Linked DNA regions of Nothobranchius furzeri. The protein of the gene in region 4 interacts with the protein of the main gene of each other region in a pairwise test. Links are inferred from orthologs where the notes say so. Each region holds a gene or a part of one and is shown on either strand. Other genes may lie near its edges.

Region 1 (2,610 bases), on a different chromosome or scaffold from region 4:
CCAGTGACGAGCGCTGCAGCGCGAGCGCGTCCACACGTCATGCTCAAATACAGACAGAACTTACCAGAGAGAAAATGAACGGACACGAATGACTGTGTGTTAATTATATATTTTTGGTGACGCCACTTAAAAACTTAGTAAATGTTACTGTGGCTGTGTGCAGAACGCAGCTGGAGTTCATGAATAATCAGCGGTCTGCCTGCTGCTCTGCTCAAAAGAATCCCCGCGACGCTGAGTCCATATAATATAATATAGTATAATATAATATAATATAATATAATATAACATAACATAACATAACATAATATAATATAATATAATAAAGGTAGAAACTGGATCTTTGTTGTGCTCCTTCTGGGTGTGGAAGTTAAGGGCATCAGGGGAGCCTGACAACCTTTAAGGAGAACCAAGTTGCTTTCCTGTAATTTGAACCCAGTATCCGAGTCCGGATCGGGGCTTGGATTGGGAAGTAAAGTCCGAGTCCCGATCGAGTCTGAAACCACGTGATCGGGGCCGATTTCCGAGCATGTGATCGGATCGGGACATCCCTAATAAAAAGCACCACACTATATTAGCTGGCATTCTAAGTTTTCATACGGTGACGTTGGTGCACTACTTTGGGAAATAAGGCAGCCCCCCCTCCTTTAAGGCCCTTGTTGAGAAGCCTGAAAAATGGGGGGGACCACTGAATTTTGCACATTCAGCAACCGGCGAGAAAATCATGAAAAACATCTTATTCCACCTTTATGGTGGCACTGATGGTTTAGATTTTAGTGGGAACAACATTAGACAGCACAAACTCAACATTTTTTAATGAATTGATATTTACTGTATATAAATAAAAGCATTACCTGGGGTCAGTTTGGGTTGATAGTCCTCATCTTCATTCGTTTTTCTTTGTACCTCAGCAGCTTTGGCGGAAGCTTTTCTCCGCTTGGCAGAAACCGGTGATCCTTTCTCTGAAGTGATTTTGTTCAAGCCTGAAGATAAAAGTTATCAAATTATCAAGAAGATCCACAAGCTAAAAAACAAAACAATTCTTAGGCATGCTCTTTTGACTGCACTGGGAACGTCAAAAGCCTGGCAGTTTCACAATTTTAGGCAATTTACCCAAACATAACACAACATGCCACCCAGCTCCTGGTGCAATCTACTGTCCTCTCCCGCCTCGATTACTGCAATGCCCTTCTAACTGGTCTTCCAGGCTGTACTGTGAGACCTCTTCAAATGGTCCAGAATGCAGCGGCGCGTCTGGTCTTCAATCAGCCAAAAAGAGCACACGTCACCCCTCTGTTCATTGAGCTCCACTGGCTACCGCTAGCAGCAGGCTTCAAATTCAAATTGCTAACACTAGCATACAAAGTCCGAGACGGTACGGCTCCCATCTACCTGAATCATCTTGCAAAGGCTTACGTCTCTGCCCGGCTGCTCCGGTCATCACAGGATCGTCGGCTAGCAGAGCCCACACCACGCTCAGGACAATCCAGACTGTTCTCATGCATCGTTCCACAAATGTGGAATGACCTTCCAAGCTCTACCAGAACAGGGGCTTCCTTTTCAATTTTCAAGAAACTCCTGAAGACCCTGCTCTTCAGAGAGCATCTTCTTAACTAGCACCCTCCCTGCACCCGTCCCCCTCTCTACTGTCCACTCCTTGTTCCCTCCTCTCCATGATTGATGTCAAGTTGTTGTTGTTGTTAGCCTCAAGGGCAACATGCCGATTATCACTTGTAAGTCGCTTTGGACAAAAGCGTCTGCTAAATACATAAACATAACCATAATTTTTACACTGCTTAGATGTGTATACAGGCAACAGAAAAGGAGGATTTACCCATAACAGCTCCGTCCACACTGCAGTTGGAGATAGGAAGAGAAAATGGATCGGTGTTTTCATCTATGGGGTTTTTAGCTCGGAGATCTGCAGGTTAGAATTTGCAGAAAAAATATTTTAAAAATCTATCTGCAACCGTTTATGAACATAAAATCACTTGACAAAGCACACCTTTGCTGGTGGGAGCCTCCTTTATTCCCTCTGCGTTGTTGAGTAAGGAAAGTGTGATGGCTGCTTCTAGATCTCTCTCGTACAACTTTTCATCCAGTGGTTTTCTGACAAAATGAGTTCACGTAGAAAAGTTTACACCTTTGTTTGAATTCTCTGCAAAAAAATGCATCTAAAGCATGATGGAGAACTCTGGAACAGCTTGTGGTTTCATTTGTGACTAAAAGTGAAATAATGCCACATAGCTAGTGATCCTTCATCCAAACATCCACAGACTCCACCACACAAGTCCACTACGTTTTAACTCTAAATAAAGCTTTTCAGAGAACAGAGAAACTTCTCGGAGCTATTTAACAACTCCCTCCCCACTTCACCCGGTTAGCTCACTGAAACAGGTGAGAAATTTGATGTTTATTTAAAGGCAAAATAAACAAACATCCACAGAATTACTCTCAAATCTCCACAGATTGATAAAAAAAAATTCTTTCTTACTCAAAAATAAAATAAAATTGGTTAATAAAAAAATGAATCACTTGGGCAGCAGTAGCTCAGGTGGAAGAGCGGGTTGCCTCATGATCGGAGGGTCGTGGGCTCGATTCCAGCTCCCGCCA
Region 2 (3,609 bases), on a different chromosome or scaffold from region 4:
TCAACATTGCGTGCAGCAGCAACCACAGCCTCCCAGACATTGTTCAGAGAGGTGTACTGTTTTCCCTCTTTGTAAATCCCACATTTGATGATGGACCACAGGTTCTCAATGGGGTTCAGATCAGGTGAACAAGGAGGCCATGTCATTAGTTTTTCTTCTTTTATACCCTTACTTGCCAGCCAAGTACTTGGACGCGTGTGATGGAGCATTGTCCTGCATGAAAATCATGGTTTTCTTGAAGGATGCAGACTTCTTCCTGTACCACTGCTTGAAGAAAGTGTCTTCCAGAAACTGGCAGTAGGACTGGGAGCTGAGCTCGACTCCATCTTCAACCCGAAAAGGCCCCACAAGCTCATCTTTGCTGATACCAGCCCAAACCAGTACTCCACCTCCACCTTGCTGGCGTCTGAGTGGGACTGGAGCTCTCTGCCCTTTACCAATCCAGCCACGGGCCCATCCATCTGGCCCATCAAGACTCACTCTCATTTCATCAGTCCAGAAAACCTTAGAAAAATCAGTCTTCAGATATTTCTTGGCCCAGTCTTGACGTTTCAGCTTGTGTGTCTTGTTCAGTGGTGGTCGTCTTTCAGCCTTTCTTACCTTGGCCATGTCTCGGAGTATGGCACACCTTGTGCTTTTGGGCACTCCAGTGATGTTGCAGCTCTGAAATATGGCCAAACTGGAGACAAGTGGTATCTTGGCAGCTGCACGCTTGACTTATCTCAGTTCATGGGCAGTTATTTTGCACCTTGGTTTTTCCACACGCTTCTTGCGACCCTGTTGACTATTTTGAATGAAACGCTTGATTGTTCGATGATCACGCTTCAGAAGCTTTGCAGTTTTAAGACTGCTGCATCCCTCTGCAAGATATCTCACTATTTTTGACTTTTCTGACCCTGTCAAGTCCTTCTTTTGACCCATTTTGCCAAAGGAAAGGAAGTTGCCTAATTATTATGCACACCTGATATAGGGTGTTGATGTCATTAGACCACACCCCTTCTCATTACAGAGATGCACATCACCTAATAAACTTAATTGGTAGTCGGCTTTCGAGCCTATACAGCTTGGAGTAAGACAACATGCATGAACAGGATGATGTGGACAAAATACTCATTGGCTTAATAATTCTGCACTCCCTGTATATATATATATATATATATATATATGTATATACATATACATATATATATATATATATGTATATACATATATATATATATATATATATATATATATATATGTATATACATATATATACATATATATATATGTATACATATATATATATATACATATACATATACATATACATACATATACATACATACATATAAAAAATATATATATACATATATACATACATATATATACATACATATACATATATACACACACATATATATACACGCACACACACACACACACATATATATATATATATATATATATATATATAAATATATGTGCACACTGAGGATAAAGACATTAATCAAAGCTTAATTTTGTAAAACACAATTTAAGACAGTTGTTTACACACGGTCACGTTTTAAAACATAACTCCAACCCCATGACGTAGGCACGTACAGAAAGTGCCAGTGAAGTGAGCCAAAGTTGCAAGCAGGTGGCAGGCAGACTTATCAACAAAACAATGGAGGACGATATTTTGGATAAAATTTGTTCGGGAGTTTACATTCTTAAAAGAAAGGAGGGACAAACTGCTAAATCGCTGGTTTGGGAAAGATTCAGCAAGGTAATAAGCACAGACAACAGCAGCAGCATTGGCTGGACAAAACAAGAACATAACAGGTAATGCGTTTGTTTGCTTTCAAAATGTTTGATAAAAGTTGTAAAATGTTTTATTATTTTGTTTGCCCAAGCATGGGCTCTAGGTGCTGTTTTTGTTTTGGTTATTGCACTATTAGTAGGGAAACAAACAAAAAACCCTTGTTTCATTTAATTTTAAACTTTCTTTATCTGCCTATTTTTATTTTTTATTTTAATTTTTTATTTTAGCCTTTAAAAATGTAAATGTTACTACCATTTTCCAGTGCCAGTTTGGGGGCTATTTAACGCACCTTTGTCTGAATAAAAGCACATTCAATCAATAACGTGTTTTTAATGAGGCGGGTCGGGGCGGCGCGGGTTGTAAAAATAGACCTAGTGAAGCGGGGCGGTTTGGTGCGGATCAGACGTTATCAAATCTGCGGTACCCGCGGGTTCAAAAGAACCCTAACCCTCACTAGTGCTTACAGCCTGAATGCTTCTGATTAGTCACAGCAGTGTCCTTGGAGAGACAGACACCAGGACGGTGTCCCTCTCTGGTCAGCCCTGCAATCAGCATGTGTGTGAAAGCCGGCATCTTTCAAACTGGGTTTTTGTTTGTAAATGAGTGAGCGTGTGTAGAGTCACCTTGACTGCAAAGCTGCATTTTCCACTGCGCACCGCCTCCTCGTCCGTCTGCCACTGGTGCGGCCGACTCGATTCCGGCACATAGACGTCTTTCTTTCGCCGAAAGCTCTGCCTTAGCTTATTCATCGCTGAGCTCCCTGTGAGGACAGAAAGAGGCAGTTTAGACTGGACTGTCAGCAGTTAAATAAGGAAGGCAGATCTCTCTTTTACCCATCGAGCCTGGAGCTGTGTGATTATTGAACAACCTTTTTAACATGCAGGAAGCATTTTAATAAAACATACTGGACAAAATGATTATTACATCAAAAACGAATAGTTTAACCATCAAAGCTATTTTGTTTTGGTTCAATAGTTAGAACAAGTTTACGAAATAAATATTTTCTTACACGCGGCCATTTGCCTGTTTTTTTAAATTCACTATTAAAGCTACAATGCCAAAACTACAAAACACGCCAACTTAAAACAAGGATTTTATCCCTCTCAACAACATAGTATAGCTATAACTATATGGTGGAAATAAAAAATAAATAAACAAATTAATTCACTGGTTCTCTCACATTTGTCCAAAAACCTCAGCCAATAGCACAGCTCAGTCTGAAACCAACTGGACCATCCGGTTGTCGATCTAACTGAACCGCTGCATTGTCCTGGGACCTCCATTCATATACACACTCACACACACATTTAGCAACAGAACACCACTGGTGTGAGAGGTCAGGCTGGCAGCCGTAACAGAGGCTCTCTGCTCAATAATATCAGAGAAGGAGAAACAGTTGGCTGCTACCACTTCAACTTTAGGACAAACTACCAGAGTCCCAAAAAGAAAAACACCACTTGAAGTCACGGACAACAAAAGATGTTTGGATCTAGAAAACTGTGACTGGTGTTTAGTGCCATCTCGTTTACCGTGGCGACGCAGGTTCCCTTGTGAGGGGGCATGGCCAAGAGATGATAGCCAACAGAAGGGTTGAGAGTTCTGTGATTGTATTTAAAAGCCAACTTTTTGCAGATTTGATAACGCAGTTATAAATGAAGTTACAATCATAAATGTGTCATTTTTTTTCTGATGAACAGAGGCCATATGTGATTGCTAATAAACAAAAAGCTGTACTTATGCAGCTAAGCCCTGTTGTTGCTTTGGCTCACCGAGGTGAAAAAAACATCAACTTTTCTGTTCCAATGTTCACCGTTTGCTCCTAT
Region 3 (3,609 bases), on a different chromosome or scaffold from region 4:
AGCGCCATGCTCTGTAATTCTCTGGCCTGTCGTCGAACTGGTAAAGGCCTGAGATTATTAAATCTCGACGTGCCATGTATTGAGCAAAGGGCTCTGCTGGATTTAAAATGCTGGCCGCGGTGTTACAGTTATGCTGAGGTATAAATGGTGAGCCGCATGGGTTGAGAGAGGTATTTTGTTTCTCCACTTTAGGTTTTGTTTCACCTTTCAGCTGGCTGGGGTAATTTAGAGCAGCGATATTAGCTTTGGTAAGCCTCATTTCAGAGTTGATGGGTTGTGGCTCTAAATTGCCTTCTTCAGATGGATGCCACGTTACAAATGTGTTGGGTGAACTTGCTCTGGGACAAGCAGTGGTTGGTAATTGTCGTGGACTGGGAGATAGCTTGGTGTCCATTTGAGATCGTACATATTCATTCGTACGTTCTAATTTTACACTTTCTGATGGAGATTTTCTACTCTCGGGTTCTTCTTGTATTGCTTCAGCTTCCTCTAGCACTTCTGCTTCAGCTAGAGCAGCATCAGCTTCCCTCTGTAATGTTAACACTTCTAATTCCACATCTATTTTTGCCTTTTCCAGTTCGCTTTGAGCTTTTTCAACTTTTAACTGTGCTTCTTTTGTTGCGTAGCATGCTCTCACCTTCGCAGCCTCTGCTTTAGCTCGAGCCTGGGCAGCGCTTACTGCTGATCCAGATGAGCGGCTCGTCCTCAAACTGCGTGCAGACTTGTTACTCGATGCCATTTTGACCGTGATGAATCGTCAGTAGTCGCCTTTTCACTGTAGTGTTTTCAACAGGAATGTTGGTGACACCGAGTTAAACCACAAATGAAGACCCTGGAGTTTAGCTGCAGCTTGTTTAATTGTCTCATGAACATGTGGTGAAAACTGAAATGACAGAAAATAGACTCCATCTTAACAGATAGAAGCATGTTTACATCCAAAAAGTGCATTACTCTCACTGAAACATTCATGTTAGCAAAATATACACTAATATCCAAAGCTATTAGTATAAACTGTCATATAAAGCAACTTACGGCGTTCCAGCCTGATAATTCAGAGAAGATGGCATCTGATTACATCTCCACGCTGCCTTCTGCACAGTGTTGCCAGATCCAAAATCCCACAATATCGTACAGAGAGGCTTAAATTATCGTTTTTCAGTACAAATTATCGTACATTATAAATTTGATAATAACGTTCTATAAACAACTTCTCACTCCAATATAATATAACAAAGAAGGTGTTTTATATTGCCCTGTTTAAATAAACATCTTTAAAACCAGTAATATAATGCTTATAAACGTGCAGAGTGTGTCAGCACCACTCCGACCTCCACGCATTGACACAATATGCACATTTGCGCAGTCCTATTTATTTCATTTCTACATAGGTTTTTCTTTTAAGATTAGAAGCCATTGTCTCGTTGCTCTGTCATCCTAGATTAGACTTAACTCGGCGTGCTCGCGGGCAAACAGCAAAAACTGGCGGGACACTGCCACATTATATAACCTTACAGTTTCTCACGAGAGTAGGCCCTATCGATGTGATTGGGCTATTTATAGTACAGACCCAGAGTCAGTTTTTGTAATAGACACAATAGCATAAACCTGTAAGCACTGAGGCGAAATCTGACTTCAGAACAGTTTAAAATTATGTAACTGACTTGGGAAAGCTACAGCAAAAGACGGTGTTACTAGTTGCAATGTGAAATTATCGTACATTTGAGGATTTTTTAAACTATTGATCGTACATTGTAGAGCCCAAAATTATGGTACGAATACGATAATTATCGTACATCTGGCAACACTGCTTCTGCATGAAGCGCCTGTTTCTCCGCGAAAACAGTGTTTGACCAAAACCGGAAGTGCACCGCCAGAACAGGAAGCACATTTTAGCGATATTTTCTTTTTAACTAAAACACATATAAAGCATGAATTATTCATTTTAACAACACATATCAATGTTTTTAATGACAAATCCTTTTAGAATTATTTATTTCAAACTTATGAACCTATTTATTCAGAGAAAGCCTTAAGGGCAACACAACAACATTTAAATGATCACTTCTAATTAAACTAAATAATGACGAATAAAAGACAACAACAAAAATTGACAGAAACGAAAATCCTATCGTTAAAACAGTAATGATGGTAGAATGTAGACAAAAAGAAACAATCACCGTATGGAAAGACGAGACTAGATGAGCTGGCCATGTTTGAACAAGCTTCCGCTACCAGTTATACATCTTAAAGGACAAAATGTCCACAGCTTGGTTTTAAACGTGTTACGGTGGTAGCAGCTAGCAGGGGCGGGAGAGGAGCTTAACCAAACTGGTGGTTTTAACATTTTCATGGCATTAGTACAGCCAATGATATCAGCGTCTGGTGATCTAGTGGTGTTTCTGTGAAGAAGAAAAAACATTCAGGTGGTCCAGAAAATTGTTCAGGCAGCCCACCTGCCTGGGAAAACTCTGATAAACACACCCGAAAACAATCTTTACCTTTAGTTTACCTCCTCACATTATTAGAGTAACACATATTAGTGTTTTAATGGTTTGATGTCATTTCATGTAAGGTTTACAAATATTACTGCACATTATACAGATTTGTTTAATTTATTAATATTGGGAGACACAATTTCTAATTGTCAGTGTTCACTTTGGTATTTAGCAATAATTATGGTCACTTAGACAACTAGATGTATAGTTTTATTGATGCAAAATGTGAAATGTGAATTTTTCTTTACAGTTTAAAGTAGTTAAGACTTCCTTTACAGAAAATTGTTGCATCAGATGACAAATACATACATTTTAGTCAAATAAAATAAGACTAAAATAAAACACATTGGACGACTAAATTGTGACAAAATTTTAAAACTATTTAAAACTAAATTCTAATTTCTTGTCAAAGTTGGCATTGCCTCTAACCGGGCAACGGAGCTAAAACATTAATTTTTTAATAGCAAAATTAATTAAATAAATTAACATAAGACATTTTGCTTCCATTATAGCACAGTGCAGGGTACGACTAGGTTTTAATGATTTCTTAAAACTTGTATACATAACTCCTGAAAAGGGGAAGACTCCAGATTGCAGGTTTGATATGACCATCTTTAGATGTTGAAATTGTCAACACAGCGTAGATAATATCTCCTTCCTCTATGGATTGTTTCACATCTCAAGTTTACATATTTGTACTTTCTCTGTCATGTGACCAGGCATTTATTACGACACCAACTGTAACAAGGAGGACATCAATCACGCCGTGCTGGCCGTTGGCTTTGGTGTGAGCCCCAAGGGGAAGAAGTACTGGATCGTCAAGAACAGGTGGGGCGTCACGGAAAATAAATAGTTAATTTCAAGTGTCGATTTGAGTCCAGGTGACGTTCAGCCTCTCTTTTGTTTTCATCCCGACAGCTGGGGTGAAGAGTGGGGCAACAACGGCTACATCTTGATGGCACGCAACCGTGGCAACCTCTGTGGCATCGCTAACCTGGCCAGCTACCCCATCATGTGATCAGATGAGTGTGGCGGAAGTGGAGACTTAGACTACTACGCACCACAATGATGAAACAACCATCAGTATTTTCTGCAACATCAACTTAAAAACATA
Region 4 (2,686 bases):
CAGTAATAATAAACATTTGAACAGAAGAACTGTCTCTAATCCAGGTTGGGCGTTCAGATGGAGGAGAAACGACAGTCTAGCAGGTCTGAACCACAGATCCATCTTTTTCATGCTCCTTTCATACAAAAACAACTAAAACAGTTTAGAAACAGACGCATGAAATAAAACCTCCAAACTAAAGTGAAATGTAGTGTTTTTTAATCTCTTCCTAGTTCTGAAAAACTTCTGTTCCTCGGTCAGGTCTCACCTGCTCAGTGTGTGTGGTGCAGAGGACAGGTGTGTTGTCGTGTGTGACGGCACACTACAGCTAGTCCAAAAAATAGAGCAGGTAAAGATCCGGCTCAGAGCTTCCCGTTCGGAGTCGATTAACTATCAACTACGGCTGTCCCAGTTTGACCTTTGAGCTGGCCGGGTCAGACCAGGTGAGCCTGTTTTATGAACACTTAGTACAGATCCAGGGTTCTGGTGCTGCAGCCGTCCGGTCCAACGTCTAAATCGTTATCAGTCACAGGTGAAACGAGCGTTTGGGAAGAGGTTTTATGGATGAGTGAGTTGATAGCAGCCACTCAGATCTCCGTTCGTCTACATTTGGATTTTTGAAAAGAAGCTAGCTGGCAAGCTAGCTTGTTAGCACTGACCAGGAGTCCATGTTGTATTGTCCTTGACATGACCTTCAGGATGAGGAGAAACAAAACGGGACTAGAACTAAACAATCCAGCCAATCACAGGTGAGTCTGACAAGTCTTCACTACACAGGTATGTCCTAATGCGCTTCACTCATCCATACATAACAGCCTGGGCCCTCACTGCTGCCCAATCACAGTCCAGATCCATGTCACAGAGGGGAGGGGTGGGGCTGTGAGGTCAGCATGGACGTGACCCCTAAAAAAATGCACCCCCCACCCTCCTTTACAATCTGATGCTCGTCACCTGGGAGTCCTCAGCACATGGAGATGGTGACGTTGATGCCCAGGTTGCCATTCTCGGCGAACAGCTGTGCGATCGATGTGTCAAACACCAAGCAGTCGCTGTTCATGATTGCCGTGGCGATGCCCTCGTGGATGGAGCGTGGAGTCGCCTCCCAGGTGAGCCGACGCCGGTGACCGTTGAGCTCCAGCCGGTATGCGAAGTTTTCTGCCTGCTTGCGAGTCCCGATGAGCTGCACGATGGCGAAGAACTGCTGGTGGCCGTCATACTTCTCCTGCTTCTCCAGCACCAGCATAAAGTGGAACCCGAAGCAGGACTGCATCATGACCCAGTCCACGGCGCCGGGCAGGTTGATGTCTGTCGCCAGGAACACGATGTCCTCACCCTGATGCACACACAGGTCAGAGGGTGAGCAGGCAGAAGCAGAACCCTAAGACTCATTACTGTGTGACCCGTGTCCAGCAGAGGGCACTGCTACAAATCACTACAGCCGTTAGAACAAAAGACTGAAAAATTTGGTCCTGAAAAGTAAAATTTATTTGTAAAATCTTGAGATTTGACTTCATTAATAAAATCCACCAGGAAACGAGCTCAAAGCACCAAGCGTGACCTCTGACCTGCAGTGTGGTGATGGACTTGTGCTGGTGCATCAGGTGTGGCATGACTGCATCCAGGGATCCCTGCCACTTGCAGGAGGCTCCGGGACACGGGCAGGAATATGGTCGGAACTCGCACAGCTCCTCGTGCTCGGTCTTGTCGGTGTGAGGCAGAGTGACTTCACAGCCTGATGAGGCGTACTTACAGGGGAAGAGCACCGAGTTGGCTACCTTCTCCATGGCCAGGTTCCTGATGGAGCCCAGGGGGCCCCTGCAGGTGGGGCAGCAGGTGAGCTTGGGCCGGCAGTTGGAGCACACCTGAGACGAAATATGAGCTCAGTAGTTACACTAAAAAAAAAGTGTGTGTGCGCACCACCACGAATGACTGGATGGGTTAAAGTTAAAACATCCAGACCAAGTGTGAGTTCATCCCGATGAGAGCACTAATTAATGCTGAGGCATCCTTTGGTACATTTGGAAAAAATTGAGTTTTAACAGATATTTTTAAAGAAAAATCTTCAAACATATGACATAACAGCTTGCCATATCGCAGCTGATTCTAACCAAACCATCAGATCTTGGTTAAAAAAATAAGCCATTTTAACTTTCTGTGGTTTGGTTCTGGTCTCATCTGGGCCGGGTCACAGGGCTACATGACCCAGGAACGTCGGTGCTCTGTGGGGTTTGGTTGATGGGGGCGATACGTACCAGGTGTCCCGACTGGCACTGCAGGATGGGGGGCAGGACATAGTCAAAGCAGACCGGACACTCGAACAGGCTGGCCAGGTCACTGTTGGAGGCCGTGGTGCCCGACAGGGTGGGCACGCGCTGAGAGGGAGGGCACTTAGAAGTTCCTGTGGGCAGCGCGGTGGCGGTCTGGCGACTCATTTCTGATAAAAGACACAAGAGTGGAGTTACAGCGATAAACACCTTTACACTTCTATTTAAAGAGCAAGTCAACCCCTACCAGAGTCTAACTCCACTCCCACTTCATGTTTGAAAAATGCAACAAATGCTGTTGCCTAGCAGACTGAGAAGGCAGAGCTGCTAACAAATACACACACACACAGGCTCACGACAGAATTGTGACATCATAATGTACCAGTTTACATCATAGCATACCTCTTAGCCAATAGCGGTGGCAGATTTAAATTAAAATGCAG

The links. The genes of interacting proteins can lie anywhere in the genome.
Region 1: the proteins of siah1 (region 4) and rad51ap1 interact in binary tests that used the Homo sapiens proteins (3 or more experiments, as listed by UniProt). The two-hybrid records come from large-scale screens. The link is inferred for Nothobranchius furzeri from reciprocal best matches to the Homo sapiens genes SIAH1 and RAD51AP1.
Region 2: the proteins of siah1 (region 4) and numb interact in a two-hybrid assay, tested with the Homo sapiens proteins (2 studies listed by BioGRID and IntAct). The link is inferred for Nothobranchius furzeri from reciprocal best matches to the Homo sapiens genes SIAH1 and NUMB.
Region 3: the proteins of siah1 (region 4) and ctsk interact in a two-hybrid assay, tested with the Homo sapiens proteins (2 studies listed by BioGRID). The link is inferred for Nothobranchius furzeri from reciprocal best matches to the Homo sapiens genes SIAH1 and CTSK.

What each region holds. Positions count from the first base shown.
Region 1 is NC_091741.1:43,141,120-43,143,729, reverse strand, and holds part of rad51ap1 (RAD51-associated protein 1), read right to left. Parts: intron 2,107-2,610; coding exon 2,003-2,106; intron 1,919-2,002; coding exon 1,832-1,918; intron 981-1,831; coding exon 852-980; intron 1-851. UniProt on the Homo sapiens protein: Structure-specific DNA-binding protein involved in DNA repair by promoting RAD51-mediated homologous recombination.
Region 2 is NC_091758.1:16,891,940-16,895,548, forward strand, and holds part of numb (protein numb homolog), read right to left. Parts: intron 2,547-3,609; 5' UTR 2,536-2,546; coding exon 2,410-2,535; intron 1-2,409. UniProt on the Homo sapiens protein: Regulates clathrin-mediated receptor endocytosis. Plays a role in the process of neurogenesis.
Region 3 is NC_091745.1:65,969,857-65,973,465, reverse strand, and holds part of ctsk (cathepsin K), read left to right. Parts: intron 1-3,214; coding exon 3,215-3,323; intron 3,324-3,413; coding exon 3,414-3,513; 3' UTR 3,514-3,609. UniProt on the Homo sapiens protein: Thiol protease involved in osteoclastic bone resorption and may participate partially in the disorder of bone remodeling. Displays potent endoprotease activity against fibrinogen at acid pH. May play an important role in extracellular matrix degradation.
Region 4 is NC_091744.1:81,660,867-81,663,552, reverse strand, and holds the end of siah1 (E3 ubiquitin-protein ligase Siah1), read right to left. Parts: intron 2,414-2,686; coding exon 2,232-2,413; intron 1,842-2,231; coding exon 1,545-1,841; intron 1,313-1,544; coding exon 941-1,312; 3' UTR 523-940; downstream 1-522. UniProt on the Homo sapiens protein: E3 ubiquitin-protein ligase that mediates ubiquitination and subsequent proteasomal degradation of target proteins.